2 linked regions of the Struthio camelus genome follow. The protein of the gene in region 1 interacts with the protein of each later gene in a pairwise test. Links are inferred from orthologs where the notes say so. Each region holds a gene or a part of one and is shown in the gene's direction. Other genes may lie near its edges.

Region 1 (8,002 bases):
AAAAAAAAAACTTGCAAACATCATAAACAAGAAATGAAACACTCCCCCAGACCTGGGTCTCCAGTGCACACATATTAATTACACACCAGAGAGTAAAGCCTCAGTATGTGCAAGCATTTAATTCACTATTTGCATTTATTAAAAACATTCCTCTTCGCTTTAACAATACAGTAACCCAGCAGTGAAATAACAGCAATTCAAATGTGGTCATTTACAGACATGAGGTTTCTTATGCCCATTGTACAGTGCAATGTTGCCAAGTCTCACACCTTAGGAGTAAGCTCTTGCGCTCTCCTCTCTGTGTCACACATATGCATGCACACACATACAAAATTTACATGTCTGCTCTCACCTATACTCTTTTGGGAAAAGCCACAAATTTCATCAATCTCACTCATACAGATTTAAAAATCCTGGCAGCTTTTGAATAGCTTTTCTTCATCAGTTGCAATTAAGTGCTGGAAAAGAAATCCAAAATATACAGAGAGAGGCTTTCGCCCTAATAGTAAATGTTACCAATAGCGTGCAATTTCTAGTATGTTCCAAAGGTTTGCCACTCCATCTTTCTGAAAGGCAAAGTCTGTATGCCCCGTGATTAGATTTCCGTAAATGCTGAGCAATTCAGGGTTGTCAGCCATAATATAAAACATTATTTATAACTGTTTAACTGTTTCAAGAGTATAGTTAATAGTTTTCTGTAACGTGATCTTAAAGAAGTTGATTAAGTGTGCTTTACAACGTGACCAGAAAGAGCTTCCGATTAGTGACATAGTGATACATATATTTTACATCTCACATGGCCCATACTTTTAAAAGTTGGGAGTGTTGAAATAGGAGTTGAACCAAAATGAAATCAAATCATTAGAACTTGAGCATTTCCTTACCACACTTCATCAATATCATCATGTCATGCCAATACACTGAATATCTACAACATAAAGCACCTTTCTCAGGTACTAAAAATCATAAATATGTAATTTGTCTGTCACTCATACAAAGCAGAGATGGGCCTCAGGGGAAGAACTGAGGTCTGGAACCAAAACTCCTCATGGCTTTGGTTCAGGCCATAATATAGTTAGTAAACAGAAATAATATTAGGATCTGAATCTGAGCACATGTTCAAATACACCCAAGGTTAAACAGACGTGATGGGGCCCCATTTCTAATTTGAAGGCTATAAATTACTAAAGGAGCTCATATTTTTAAAAAGATACTGAAATTACGCAAAAAGTAAACGATTTCCAAATATTCAAAAAAGTCTGTTCCCCAAGAGGCTGTAACATGCCTTACACTTCCTTTGGCCATTCTGTTTAGTGTAGTTTTTATTCGTCACTTATCTCACGCCTGAGAAGGGACTTGTGCAGATTTCATGCGGACAAAGGAAGACTGAATGTAATTACAAAGCAGAGGGATTTTTACACTCTGTAAGTACCAGCCTGAATTTCAAACCTCTTCAGAATCTAGTAATGTTCAAATTCAATAACTGGATTCACATACATTTTTACCTTATTTAGTGTTTCTGTCAAAACCACAATTATCAACTTGCCATTGTTTTTCTGTCCTCATATTTACACGCTTAAGAAATGTAGACACTTAAGAGAAGAGTTCTACCAGCTTTGTATTTCCAAATAAATACTCTGGTGAGATATTTTTCATCAACAATATAAGACAGATATTCTTTAGTAATTGTATATTTATGTAAATAAAAAGAGAGAAAACTGGGGTTTTTTTCAGCCTTAAGAGGAGAAGGCTATAGGGAGATCTTTTTGCCACCTACAGGTAAGTGAAGGATGTATAAAAGATGGAGCCAAACACTTTTCAGAGGTGCACAGAGAAAGAACAAACGGTAACAGATAAAATTGGAATGCAGGAAATTTACAGTTACATATTATATTATATATTACATATTATACATCATATTATATATTACAAATATATTACACATATGTTATAATATTATATATTACAAAAATATACAATTTTTTTTTTTTTTTTTTTACAATTAGAGTTGTCAAACACTGGAACAGGTTCTCTAAGCAGCTGTCAAATCTTCACCCTTGGAGATGCTAAAAACTTGTCTGGCCAAGGCCCCAAGCAACCAGCTCTAATAAAGTTCTGCTTTGGAGGTCACTTCCAAACTTCATGGTTCTGATTCTATGACATACATGCGGCTAATTGTATCAAAAGATACTTGACATTCACTGATTTTGCCTTTCAAAAAATCAAAATATTGGCCAAACACTGATTCTACATGCTTAGAGTACAATTCTGATATACATGATAAACATATGATTTGGTGAAAAATACCGGCTTGATCGACAACCCCCTCCTCCTGTGTTCTCATTTAAATCAGTGGGGCTGAAAAGGTGAAAGTCAAGCCAGAATCTGAGATAGGATTAACACCATCATGCCTGTAACAAGCTTTTCTAATTGAATTAGTGTATTAGTATTAGCCACCCACATGACTCACCAGAAATGTTGATATCAAACTTACAATACTAAGTATTTTGCAGCAAATGTAGGCAAAGACAATAACAATGTTTTGCTACTCAAGAGCAAGCTTTCCAAAATATTTATGTCACATGGATGAATTTCAGGAGATAGTATCTAATCTTCCTTGCCTAGAAAATTCAGACTGATTAAGGCATTTAACCATTAATTCTAAGACCAAGTACAAGTTTCACCAGTGCCAAGCACAATTTTCTCAGTCCAAACCTTTGTTTGTACCAGTACAGACACACTGACTGTTGATCTCGGAGTCACAGTGCACAGCTTGTCAATGTGGGTGAAGTCCTTCATATCTCAAAGCAGGACGAACAAAATAAGAAAAGGCTCTGAACACTCTCTATATAGGATATTTATGAATTCTAGAGGGTGAGGCTGGTATCTAAACTTAGGATACAAATATGTAAATAAGAATGCTAATTAACTCATTTAATTATTTCAGTAAAAAATCTGCTTAATTTGAATAACAGAAGGACCAGTTTTAGACTTACACAATCAAGATACAGAGTTAAAGAAATTACATATTTTTCTGAAAGCTGTGGCTGTAAGTACAAGCAAAGCCAGGATTATTCCTGATCTATTTTTCCTTAATTAGTTTACATTGTACATGTGACAACAGGCATATATAGTTTGTTTTGCCTCCTTATACATGCATTTAGCAATGGAAATAACTTAATACTGAATTATTACTAAACAATATCTCTTTTGGCTGAATGAACATTTACGAACTGAGTACAGAAATACATGAGGATTCTTTAGAAACTCAGAACTGAGGATAAAGTTTTTTTATTAGGAAATGGAGGGGTTTTCCAGGCATTCACTGTAAAAATTACGCTAGTTGCCAAAGAACATCTTTATTTCAAACTACCCATTATATTCCCATAAACTAGCATCATAATGACGTTAAGTGAAAGCAAAACTGCTTGCTAGTGTCATCAACGTTTACACTACCCAGCTAGTGACTGTAAAACCTCCTTTCTTTCCGCATTCCAGACCACAGAACAGTGCCTTGAGACTCTTTAACAGCCCTGTATCACATGTGATACAGGGCAAAGAGCAGTGAGGAGAAAAAATGGAGGACAGAGATAAGAAAAAATAGGTCTCCCCACCTATTTATTGCTTTTCTGATTAACGCATCAGCTTCATTTTCCATTACAAACATCCATCTGGCCTTAAAGGAGAAGACTACCTCCTATACACCTCTCGTGTCTTATAAAAGGATCTGCAAGTAAAATGCAAGGCATTTACTGGTTTCCATGGATAGTGGAATATACGTTTACTGTAAGAATTATGAATTATATATAAAAATCAAAGGGTTACTTACATAATAACCTGTGGTAGAAGTGAAGTCCTAAGAATAATATTTTAATATTGCTTCCAGTGACAAGAAGTGCTAAACAGAAGCAAAAAAAAGATTCATTTTGATTACTTGAAATGACAATTTTAGTGGTCCAGTTTATTTTTGTTTCCGTTAGGACTGACCATGAGAAAGCTATGAAAATCTATGACCATGAAAAACTTGCCAAAAAATAAGGCCTATGGTAAGCCAATAATTTTGTCATAATATGCCTCTCAAAATAAGCTGTTGAGAACATACATGAAAATACAGAAGAAAGAGCGGATCGTAAGGAGGCAAAGGTTTTAAAGACAACTTTCAGTAATGATCCACGTTCAGGGTACTGCAGGAAGTCCAGAATACTGATGATTACAGATAAGTATTTGTTGTCACTCAGCCTCGTTCTTCTGATACACGATCTAACGCTCGACTTTGGATAAAAATCAAGTAGACTCAGTGTATTTATTAGATAATGTACTTTAATGGAGATACGCCAATTTACGCAAGCAGAAGAACTGCATATACTGTAAGTATTTAATATCACTCTTATCTCACTCCTTGGTTGGTTTGGGAAGACCTGCAAAAGCTGGGAGATTAATAGTAGTGACTTATGAGGTGCAAGCACGCGTGTTTTGGATGGAAAAAGAGGTGATAAAATTAGGGTATGTGAGTATTATAGAATGGTCTAAGCAATGGTCTAAGAACTAATATGCAGAGAACTTTTGCAGGGGGCAGGTGCATTTTATGGAAGTAACAGCTGCACAGTTTTGCATATGCTAGGAATACCAGCTTGGCTAGGCTTTCTCACCCCTCTCCTTCCCTGAAGTACGCGCACCGTCTTGCATAACGAAGCAAGCTGTGCAACATGCTTTTTACGTGTGGTGTAAGCCACGGCTCCAGTGCCAGCTGGGCTGACGCTGGCAGGCTGGATACCTAGGGGCTGAACGGGAATGGTAAAGGGCGGGAGTGCCCTGAGATGTGGTGTCCAGGACGTGGCGGGGGGAAGAATCCTTGGAGAAACAGACCTGGGTGTTGCAGCGCCGGGCCGACGTGCGAGAAGCCTCATGACGACGCTAACCGCCGCCGCCCTCCGTCCCCGGGCGGGCCGGCCCGGGCCGGACCTCCGAGCAGCCCTTCCGACGCCCGCCGCCCCACGCCGGCTCCAGCCGGTTCCCGCTAACGGCCCGCCCCGCGGAGGGGGAGGGGCGGGGTTGGAAGTGACGCGAGCGGGAGGGCGGGGTCGTGAGGCGTCGATGGCGGAGGCCCCATGTTGATGTCCCCGGCGTCCTCCGCGCCTGCCTAGGTAAGGGGCCCTCTGCGGCCGGGGGGAGGAGGGGGGGACGACGACGAACGGGTCCGGCGCCTTCTTTCTCTCCTGCTTTCCTCCTCTTCCTCCTGCCGCGGGGGCGGGCGCGCTGTTAAACCCAGGGCTTCTGTTCTGCGCCATCTGGGTGCCTCTCTTCCTCCCCCCCCGCCCAGCTGCCTTGGACGGCTGGTAGTAGTGTGGGGGAGAGAGGAGCCGCGGCCGTTGGGGAGGGCGGCGCGAGGGGCGCGGCGGGGCAGGGGCGGCCGTTGGCCCCCGCCGCGGCAGCTGCGCAGGCGGTGCCGGAGGCTTTGCGGAGGCCGAGGGCGAAGGTGATTCGGGCCGGACAGGCGAGGCCGCGCGGGCGGCCGGCGGGGCAGGCAGGTAGGCCCGCGGAGTGGGAGGGAGGGCCCGGCAGGTAGGGGCCGGCGGAGTCAGGTGCGCCGCTGGCCGGGCCGTGCGGCTCGTCTTGTTTTCGTGTTTCCTGCCAGACAAGCTTGTCCTCCTTCGGTGCTTTTCGGCGTGTTAAAAGCGGAACGCCTCTTTCGGCCTCTCGGTGAGAATGGCTTGTCACGTCAGTAATAAAGCCTAAACGTAGCTCTTCCTCCTCCTCCTCCTCCTCCCCCCCCGGCTTTTCTCACACCGGTAGCTGTGAGCTAACTAAGCAAGCACCGAACATCCCCTAAGCTATTCTTGAACTGTTAGTGGATATCGGCTTCACCTAAGCTCCGAGGATTTTGCTGCTGGTGGACAGTAATCCCAGGTGATTCTGCTGGTCAGCACAAGTTCAAATTCGTAGTTCTGCTTTGGACTTGGAAAACAGATTCCCTTTATTAATGGTTTCAATAAAGATAATGCTCAGCTGTGGTAGCTGGCTGACCAGTATGCAGAAATGAATGCTTTGGGTTTTTTGTAATGTTTTCTTGTAATAAACTTCCCGGTATTTGAAATAGACCTATTTCAAAAAATGTTGAATTCCATTGCTTTTGTTATTAATGCTTTGCTTATTTTTTAACTTATCCTAGGTAACAAAAAACGGATACAGTCTGTTTCATGTCATTATTATTTAGCTTCAGAGACTACTAAATTATTAAAAATGAATGGGTTTATTACACTTGAAAAAAATAGTGACTATTCTGTTTTTTGGGGGGAGGGTTGTAAAAAACAGTTTTTTCTAAAGTTTATGGTTTGGAATGTTTTTGAGAGGTGTCTTGGATATAACTTTCTGATTGGGGGGGAGTGGGAATTTTCAGAGTTGTGCTAAGCTGTAGAACTTGCTACGCTTCTCTGTACCCTGGGGCTCTATAACAGACTGGATTTACGTGTATTCCCAAAAGATGTACTTCTTTATTGTCTCTAAAAAAGTTTTGTCTTTTCATATTTATTCGGATTCTTGTTTGTGTAAGTTTTTATCTTTGTCTAGTCTTTATGTCTGTTAATTTTTACTAGTAAGGCATTTTACATTTTTTTACTTGTGTTGTTCAGGGTACAAAACTGCTTTTTATTTAACATCCAATATACCAAAATAATGCTATGGCTGTCCATATGTACTACGTGTGTTACACTAAATGGGATGGTAAGAGGCTTAAAACACTGAGGGCTTAACTTAAGAGGTAAACAGAGATTTTTTTCTACTTGTTCAGACAGATGAGTATTTTTTTATTCCAGAGTGCATTTTATTTCAGAAAATGTGAGCTTTTCTTATTTCTTCACTGTTGCAAAGAAATTTTAAAAGGCTCTAGGAAATATACAGACAGTTCTTAATTGAGACTTGAAGTGGCCCATCCCTCTTTGGGATTGATTTCGTCATATATCTTCAAAAAATATTATCTCACACACTTGGCAGTAATCTCATTCAGGGTACATATTTGCTTGATCAGCATGAATTTATTTTTAATAGCGGTTGCAAGAACAAAGCAGCTCTTTTGGCCAGAAATGTAGTGTTAAATATATAAGGCCCTAATCCTCCTAATACCAGATGTTTTGACAAACTTATGATTGTAGACTGAAATCAGACAGTTGAAACTTAACCAGTTGTCCATCTTATCTTTTTGACAGAGGTGGCCGAATCTAAGGAAGGGAAGTTCTTGGTCTGTTTATGAAGCATCTCTTGCATTACTGTAGTTTTTTAGGGTAGTGTAACCTGAATGAGGTGGTGAATGTGATAAATGCTTCTACGATCTGGTTGAATTCAGTGTTAATCCATCCAACTTGCATATGCACCTGAATGTTCCCACTATCATCAAGTTCACTGTTTATGGCAGTAAAATTAAAAATGCAGGGCTAGGGGCGTATGTGTTAAAGCACAGTACAAGATGCCCACAGACTTCTATTTTCCTGAAGAGAGTAAACTCTTTGTCTAAACAGTTTTTTTTTTTTTAAATAAACTTTCTTGTTTGTTAAAAATGTCTTAAAATGAAAAATTGTTAGTTTTGCTGAGAGAAAAAAATATTTATACGTAAAAATGCTGTCAAAAGCATTAAGTAGCACAAATTCTGGGAAGAGTTTTAAAGTAAGGAAAATTATGGAACTTTGTTTCTCCTTCCCAGCAAGATTCAGAAACATTAAGTTTATTTCATGCAAGTCAGAACCCTTCTTGATTTTTTTCCTATCACTGCTTTTGCTCCCTACTTTCTGCTGCTGTTTCTGAGGTATAGTGTTGGGGGCATTCAGCCCAGGGATGTCTTTTCTGTGATGACACCAATATGAAGAGATGGCTACTCTTTCATTATGAGAAGTGATTGTTTTGGAGTGATGCTGAGGCAGTGTGCTTGGGAGACCTTGACCTATTGCTGTCTGGTTTTGGAACAGCAGAATTAGTTCTTAAACTTCTGTCTTGTACATTTCAAACAGATTAA
Region 2 (7,006 bases), on another chromosome or scaffold:
TTAAAAAAAGTCAGCCTCAGGAGCTACAAAAGGAAAAAAATATCCAGGGGGAGGTACTAATACAATAAATATTCAAGGAGATTCAGAGTTTCAAGCAGCTGACAGGAATAAACAGCAACTCCAGCAAGTTCCCAAGAGACATCCACCTGGATAACACCTCCAAGACACCTAGGGCAAACAATAGGGATATTTTTACTGTGAAGTTATTGAATTTTAGTCATTAGTGCAGATACACCCAAGTCAGTTTCACCTCCCAGTACTGCACTGCAAAGCTCCTAGGAGTGCTCCTGGAGCGCTGTGTTGTACAGCATGGGCTACAAAACCATCTGGGAACCTGCATAAATATTTTTATCTCCTGTTTATCTGGCTACAACACTGGCAATGCAATCTCTTTCAAAGTGAACCTATCTGCTCACATGATCTGCAGACACAGCAATGTGCTACAAGTTCAAACTGTTCAGACATTCTAGGTTAAAAGTACATTGTTTGGCCACTTTGTGGACCAGTTTGTGCTGGGCATCCAGTGTGGGAAAACCAGCGAACCTCATCTCCAATTCCTCCTTTTAGCACACAGACCTAGAACGTGGGGTTTGTCACATGCATATGGCTTGGCATTTTAATAGGAATTCAAAGTCAGATGATTACCTGCTTGTCACTTCTTCTGCATGTATCATCTTCCTGCTTGCTGTTGTGGCAGTGACGTTACTGTTATTATTGAATAAGTGGAGACAGTTGGGAATTCAGTGCCTGACAGGGAGGAAGCAGGAAGTGGGAGGAGTGAGTCTTGTGGCTGCACATCTAGGGCTGCATCTTCATGGCAGAAACAGTTCCGTAAGGAGATTTGTGATCCCAACACAGGATTTGTTGGGGAGGAAGAGCCACCTGGCAATGCTCTCACTGGCTATACCAGAGCAGGGAAGAACACCAAAGCTCCTCCCTGGTTTGTCAACAAAATTTCAAACAAGAGCCTTGTCCAACTGCTCTGTATATAGTCCTGTAGTGGGACACAGCAATTACAGCAGGACAACAGGAGAACTGATTTGTTAAAATGGACAGAATAGGTTGGCAGTCTGCGTGAAATAGGCTGGAAAAATTCCGTTCTCTTGTGTCCTTGAGGAAAAGGCATCTACACCATTACACACCTTCAATACACTTGCCAACTTTTGTGCTGCATGCAATTAGGAGGCAAGGAGGAGGACAAACACGGGTAGTACAGAAAGGTGCTGCGCCATGAAACTAGAATTTTCCCCAGGTGTAACCCCTGGTCTTTCTTCAGTCTAGGCCTTGCTATGGTACTGCACAAAAATGATCCCTTGTTTCTGACTCACCATTCTGAGATCCTCTGACACTACCTGCAGCCACGGGGAAGTATTCACATGTCTTGGGACAGACAGAAACAAGCTGATGATGCTTCCTGTACTAATAATGTGCATATGAACTAGTGAAGGCTGAGACACACTGATCTATGCCATTCCCACTGCACTGCAGTACCATTAAGAGGTGCTGGTACGTGCCTATTGGAATAGATTGTTGTGCTATGCAGAAAGTCACATTATACAGTGTGGAGCAGTAAAAACTTAGACACAAAAGCCTCTGCCAGAGTCCGTGAGGGGTACACGAACATCCGAAAGTAGATGTCTATATTCAGGAGAGAAAAATCACAACCCATGCCTATTTATCTCCGTTGACTCTAAAGGCAACTTAAGATGACAAGCTCAGCTGTATGCACCCATGCTGTTAAGTGTAGGTGAGATTTCTGATTCACTTTCTCATGCCAGACAAGAGTACCTGGAAACTGCCACCATCTGAACGTACCTGCATCAAAGAAAATTTATTTCCGCCACACCTATCTTACCCATATGCAAAATCAAGGAGATTAGGGTGCAACAGGGCTTGGAGAAAGAAAACTATCAAAGGACCTCTGAGTTCAGGCTCAGAGGCTGCCTGCTTTTGAAAGCAAAAGTGGATAGTATATGACACAACTCTCTACAAGGCAGAGGGGACAGACTAATATCCTGGATATGCTGTGGAAATTTGTAACAGGCTCCTTCCTAACCCTGGTGTCAGCATCTCAGTTGCACCCTGCAGGCAACTCAGGTGTGCATATTAGTAATATAGAGATACAGCCACCAGTAGTGTCTGAACTATGAGTTACTTGGGGCAACTAAAGGATTTATGTGAGTACCTCTAGAAAAAGACCAGAGTTTTATGCACCCTTGACTCTGTTTTTATCACTAAGGAACATCTTTGATCCAGCTACTGCTTACTCTTCAATTTCTTTCTTTTTTTTTGTTTTTTTGTGCTTCCAGAATCAAGCTGACTCTTCACTTTAGTCTGGATTTCTTCTGCATTGATCACGCGCTAGAAAGAGGGTGCCTGCAAAATAGCAACGTTTTTTCTTATCCTGGTTAATTCTGATGCAACACATTGGCAGAACGTTGAATGAGATATGGGGAACCCAGGTTCTCTCACTTATGCCACTGGTGTAGCCTTGGACACATCAAGCATTCAAGGCAGTTCATTGTCCTGCTCAGCACCTCCTACTTCAATTAAAATTACTACACAAATAAAAGATAATCCTTGAAAAAGTTCTGCTCCTCTGCATGAGGCATGAATTGAGAGACTTAGAACATTTTGATATGCTCCCATTCAGTTGTTCATTTTCCCCAGGATAGCAGCAATTAATTTTTGTACTGATTTGAGCATGGTGATCCATTCATTAGTACCTTCCTTTCTTCTAGTCACTAAATACTGTGAGCCTAACTGCCCCCCAAAAACCCAAAGATATTCCAAATATGTTATCTGTTGAGTAACTGGGCTAAAATTGCCCCACTGCTTTGGCTTGTTTGCAAACAGTTCACTTTAACTGTGTGCTGTTTGTAATGTGCCTCTGGTCAGGTGCATTACACATCACACTTTCCGCCCCTTATTATTTAACTGAAACTTCATAAACAGGAGAATAATCCAGACCCAATAATGACAATGTTAGTCACTAAAACTTGTATTTTTTTCCTCTTAGATCTGGCAGCCACTTAAATAGGTCAGTCTCGTCACCTCTGTTTTAAATAAGTGGAAGCAGAGGCATTCAAGCATTACTTGGGGAAACTGAGGCCTGGGGACATGCAGCAGCTGATCCAGGCCAGAGCCCTGCAAGCCATGCTCCACAGCCCCACTGCCCACCTTCACGGCCATCAAAGGGAAATTCTCCGAATTTGCCCTGTTCTTAAGATAGGTCGGGGGTTGTCCAAGTGCCAATGAATTACAGATCCGCTAGCTGCTGTGAGCCTTGCCGTGCAGCTCTTTTTGTGACAGCGCTCCCCGGGCTGTGTGCCTGCCCACTCTGCTCCCAGGGCAGGGAGCCCCCGGCCAGGGCAGCTGTCCCTTCATGGGCCTTGTACACCACGGTGTGTTAAACAGCACTGGCAAGGAGGGAGAAGCAGCATGGCTGCCTGCAACCCGCAGAGATGGATATCTCCGTTCATGCGGCTGCTCGGCTGTATTCATAACCCCTGAGTCATGCTGGAGATAGTGACACTGCTCAATTATAGGCTCATTTTGCCTTTGTATTGTGTTTGGTGGGGGGAGGGGGAATGAGGCGACAACCAGTACAGTACAGTAAAAAATATATATATATAATAATAACAATGATTAAAAAAAACCACAACCCTGCATGGCACGGAGTGTGACACAAGCCCTGCGCAAGAGAGGGAGCAAGAGCTGCAGCTGTCACCTGCTCCCAAGCGAAAGCAGGCCCCAACTCTGCCCGCTGCCTTGCACGGCGCTGACCCCTTGCCCCGCGCCCCGCGGCTGCCCGCGCTGCAGGGCGCGGACACCGCCGTGCCCTTGTCCTGCCGCACTGTTATGATTTTGCCGCATGCCGCCCTCCCCCCGCCAAGGCAGTGGTTTCGCCCGGGAGCCCTTTGTAGCGAGGGCGTCGCCCACGAGCTGATGGGGGGGTACCCTGCGCGCCCCCTACCCGCCGTGGGGCGCGGGCCAGCCCCTGCTCCCGCCCGCGGGAGCCTGGCGCTGCCGCGGGGGCGCCGGAGGGACGGGCCGGTAGAGACCGCCGTCGTCGGCCCCGCACGCTGCGGCAGCCGCTCCTCCTCCCCCCCCCCTCGGGTGCAGTGGAACCGTCTGGAATGACGGCAGAGGTGCCTCCCTGTGACGTCACAATGCCCGATTTGCCCCAGCGCTGTTTCTGTGTTCCAGGGCGGCCGCGTCCTGCCGCAGGTGGGCGCGGCGCGGCGCGGGGGTCGCAGCGGCCGCGCAAGCTCCGCACGGCTCCGTGGCCCGCTGCGTTGCGAAGTGCCCAGTCGTAGCTCACGAAGCGGCAGCAGCCCTCGGAGGGGCAGCTGACGCTTGGGCAGTACACCAGCATGAAGTTCCAGTACAAAGAAGACCATCCTTTCGAGTACAGGAAAAAGGAAGGGGAGAAAATCAGAAAGAAATATCCCGACAGAGTCCCTGTGAGTGCGGTGTGTGAATGTATACTCGGACAGCAGCAGGGGATTGCAAGATTGCTGCTTGCGGGGCTTGCCTTACATGTCATGCTGCCATTCTGCCTCTCTTTGTTCTCATTATCAATTGTTGTCCTTTTTTCCCCCCCCTTTATTAAAGGGAAAGCAAATTAGATTAGTAAGCATGATGTTTACCTTGCTGTTCTAAATCCAGCCTGCTTTTCTCTTTAGTGCAAACCTATGATTATTTTTTATGTTGGTCTCTATTAGCAGTAGGTATGAGGATGGCAGGGTGTAATATACCCTCCCTCTTTCAGGAATCTGCAGCAATTTGACAGCTCGAATGCTGCTAATCTTTCTATGGCAGCCTGTGTGCATGGGGCTGGGGGGTGGGGAAGGAGCTTATCATCTGCTCTGTGAAAATGGAGGAGAACAACGAGTTTACCATGTACTCTTCATAGAAAACTAGAGCTGTATCCATGTTGTCAGATATGTTCCCTTTATTTTTTATTTTACTTTCTTTTGGCCTGTCTTTTCAGTATAGTCTTGTTCTGTTCTTGTGCTTTACATGAGAGAAAAACGACACTAATTTCTTAGCCTTCTGCCCTCCTGTTTAACCTTCTTATGGAAAAAGCATCACTTAGGAAACAAGGTTTTGATCTCTTAGCCAAACTTTACTTCCTCCTCCTTAGGTCCCTTTGGAATGCCTGTGGAAGGCTTCTAGTTTTATAATTACTGGTAATAATTGGAAAAAAAGAAATGATATATCAAATTAATTGTGTGGGTTTTTTTTTCCTATTAAATGTTTTGCAAATGTTCTTTCTTTCCATCCCCACTGGAGAGATCTGTCCTAGATTTACTGTCCGGGGTACTGAACTGAGACTCCCCTGTGAATCTAAGCCTAAGGGAAAACAGTTATGCTACATGTTTTCCGGAGAGACCAGCACCATTTTGTATCTTAGAGTGGCCTACAGCTGGGCTTGTAAAAATGCTGGAAAGTCAGAATTTGGGTGCATTTGGCTGAGCTGCAAATTCAGGGACCCTTGGCCTAGCATAGCACGTTGAGAATACAGCTAGACAATGATGAAGTGGACACTCTTGCGAGTTTTAAGATGAGGACCACAGAAAATGCTCTAGGTCAGAAGTGAGATAAACTATAAACTGAAGATTAGCATGGCAGTTTGTGCTCCAGATCCTGAGAGATGTGTCCAGAAAAGCCATATGTGGGGAGCCAAGGACCAGACCTGGTCTGGCAAGAGGTAAACGAGATCAAGGTAGAGGGGCATGAGCAGAACTGTAGGGAAGAAACTGGGACCCAAAGAGCAAGGTGTGCTGCAGTTAAGGATAAATGAGAAAATCTGCATGGGGAGGCCCAGATGTGGATTATGAGGGGGAAGCCTGTTGAGAGAGCTGCATATGGAACAGATGAATGCAGCTGACAGGGTTCTTTGCATCACATGTCTCTGCCCTTCCTGACAGCAGGATCCTTGAAGACGACATCCCTTTGGCTGCCTACATGGTAGTGCCCTGATGCATCTCAGCGTTTTGCTGAGATTATAATGTTGGCACAGTCCCATGTTACCGCTGACACCACCCAGCAACAACAAATATGCAGATAATCTGTTGCTACACTTTGGATTTTCTTTGTCGGGGTAGGGGGGGAGGGGGTGTGTGCATGCATGGGTGCGTGAAGGTTTTAGTACTTCAGAAAGAGATACCTGTGTTACCAGGCAAACTAACTGCTGTTGATAATCAGTTTAGCAAAGCACCTTCTTTCCTGCTCTGCTTCTTTGCAAGAGGGAGACTTGTTAAGCTCAGTGATTATCTAATTTGAATGCTTCCTGGGGATTTAGAAGCCCCAGCATTCTCCCTTCTTCCTCACAGGCACGATATACCTTTGGATTTCACCACCATCTTCTTTTCCTTTATTATCTAACAACCAATTACGATCTATCCTGTTGGGTCAGGATGGGCATATCACTGCTGCTGGCTAACAGTTCTACGTGTCTGCAGTTTTGGTAATTGTGAAGAAAGAAAGGTTTCTTTTCATTGCAATTTATTGTGTTAGATAATGCCTTGTAGTATGTGTGGGTAAAAGAACCTGCAAAGTGCTATTGCTGTTGAGCCGACATCTATTCAGTGAGATCTTGAAACTATCCTTCCTTCACAGCATTGTCCTATGTCAATTGCCTCTGCATAGAAATACATATCCTATCACAACGTATCTCAGAGAGCTTGAATGACTTGTACTAATCGAGGTGCTTGAAAAATCAGGTTCTTGAAAAGGCAGTGATGGCCATACTTCTATTTTAAAAACAAATTTAAATTTTCAGGACTTTGGGCCATGTTGAAAGCATCCAAATGAGGCACAGTGAAGAGATGGCCAAGTTAGTATCTCTATGGTGAGGCATTCTTTGCAGATACTCACTTGGTGTAGATAGAGTAGACCTGGATTATTATGGCACTTTGCCCAGGCTAAAACAGGCCCATCATCATAACACAGGAAACGCCATCTGAACATGAGAAAATGCTTCTTCACTATGAGGGTG

The links.
Region 2: the proteins of TAX1BP1 (region 1) and GABARAPL1 interact in binary tests that used the Homo sapiens proteins (3 or more experiments, as listed by UniProt). The link is inferred for Struthio camelus from reciprocal best matches to the Homo sapiens genes TAX1BP1 and GABARAPL1.

The regions. Positions count from the first base shown.
Region 1 is NC_090943.1:39,461,961-39,469,962, forward strand, and holds the start of TAX1BP1 (tax1-binding protein 1), read left to right. Parts: upstream 1-4,979; 5' UTR 4,980-5,144; intron 5,145-5,166; exon of another isoform or gene 5,167-5,528; intron 5,529-5,579; exon of another isoform or gene 5,580-5,700; intron 5,701-8,002.
Region 2 is NC_090942.1:89,401,298-89,408,303, forward strand, and holds the start of GABARAPL1 (gamma-aminobutyric acid receptor-associated protein-like 1), read left to right. Parts: upstream 1-3,983; 5' UTR 3,984-4,376; coding exon 4,377-4,466; intron 4,467-7,006. UniProt on the Homo sapiens protein: Ubiquitin-like modifier that increases cell-surface expression of kappa-type opioid receptor through facilitating anterograde intracellular trafficking of the receptor. Involved in formation of autophagosomal vacuoles.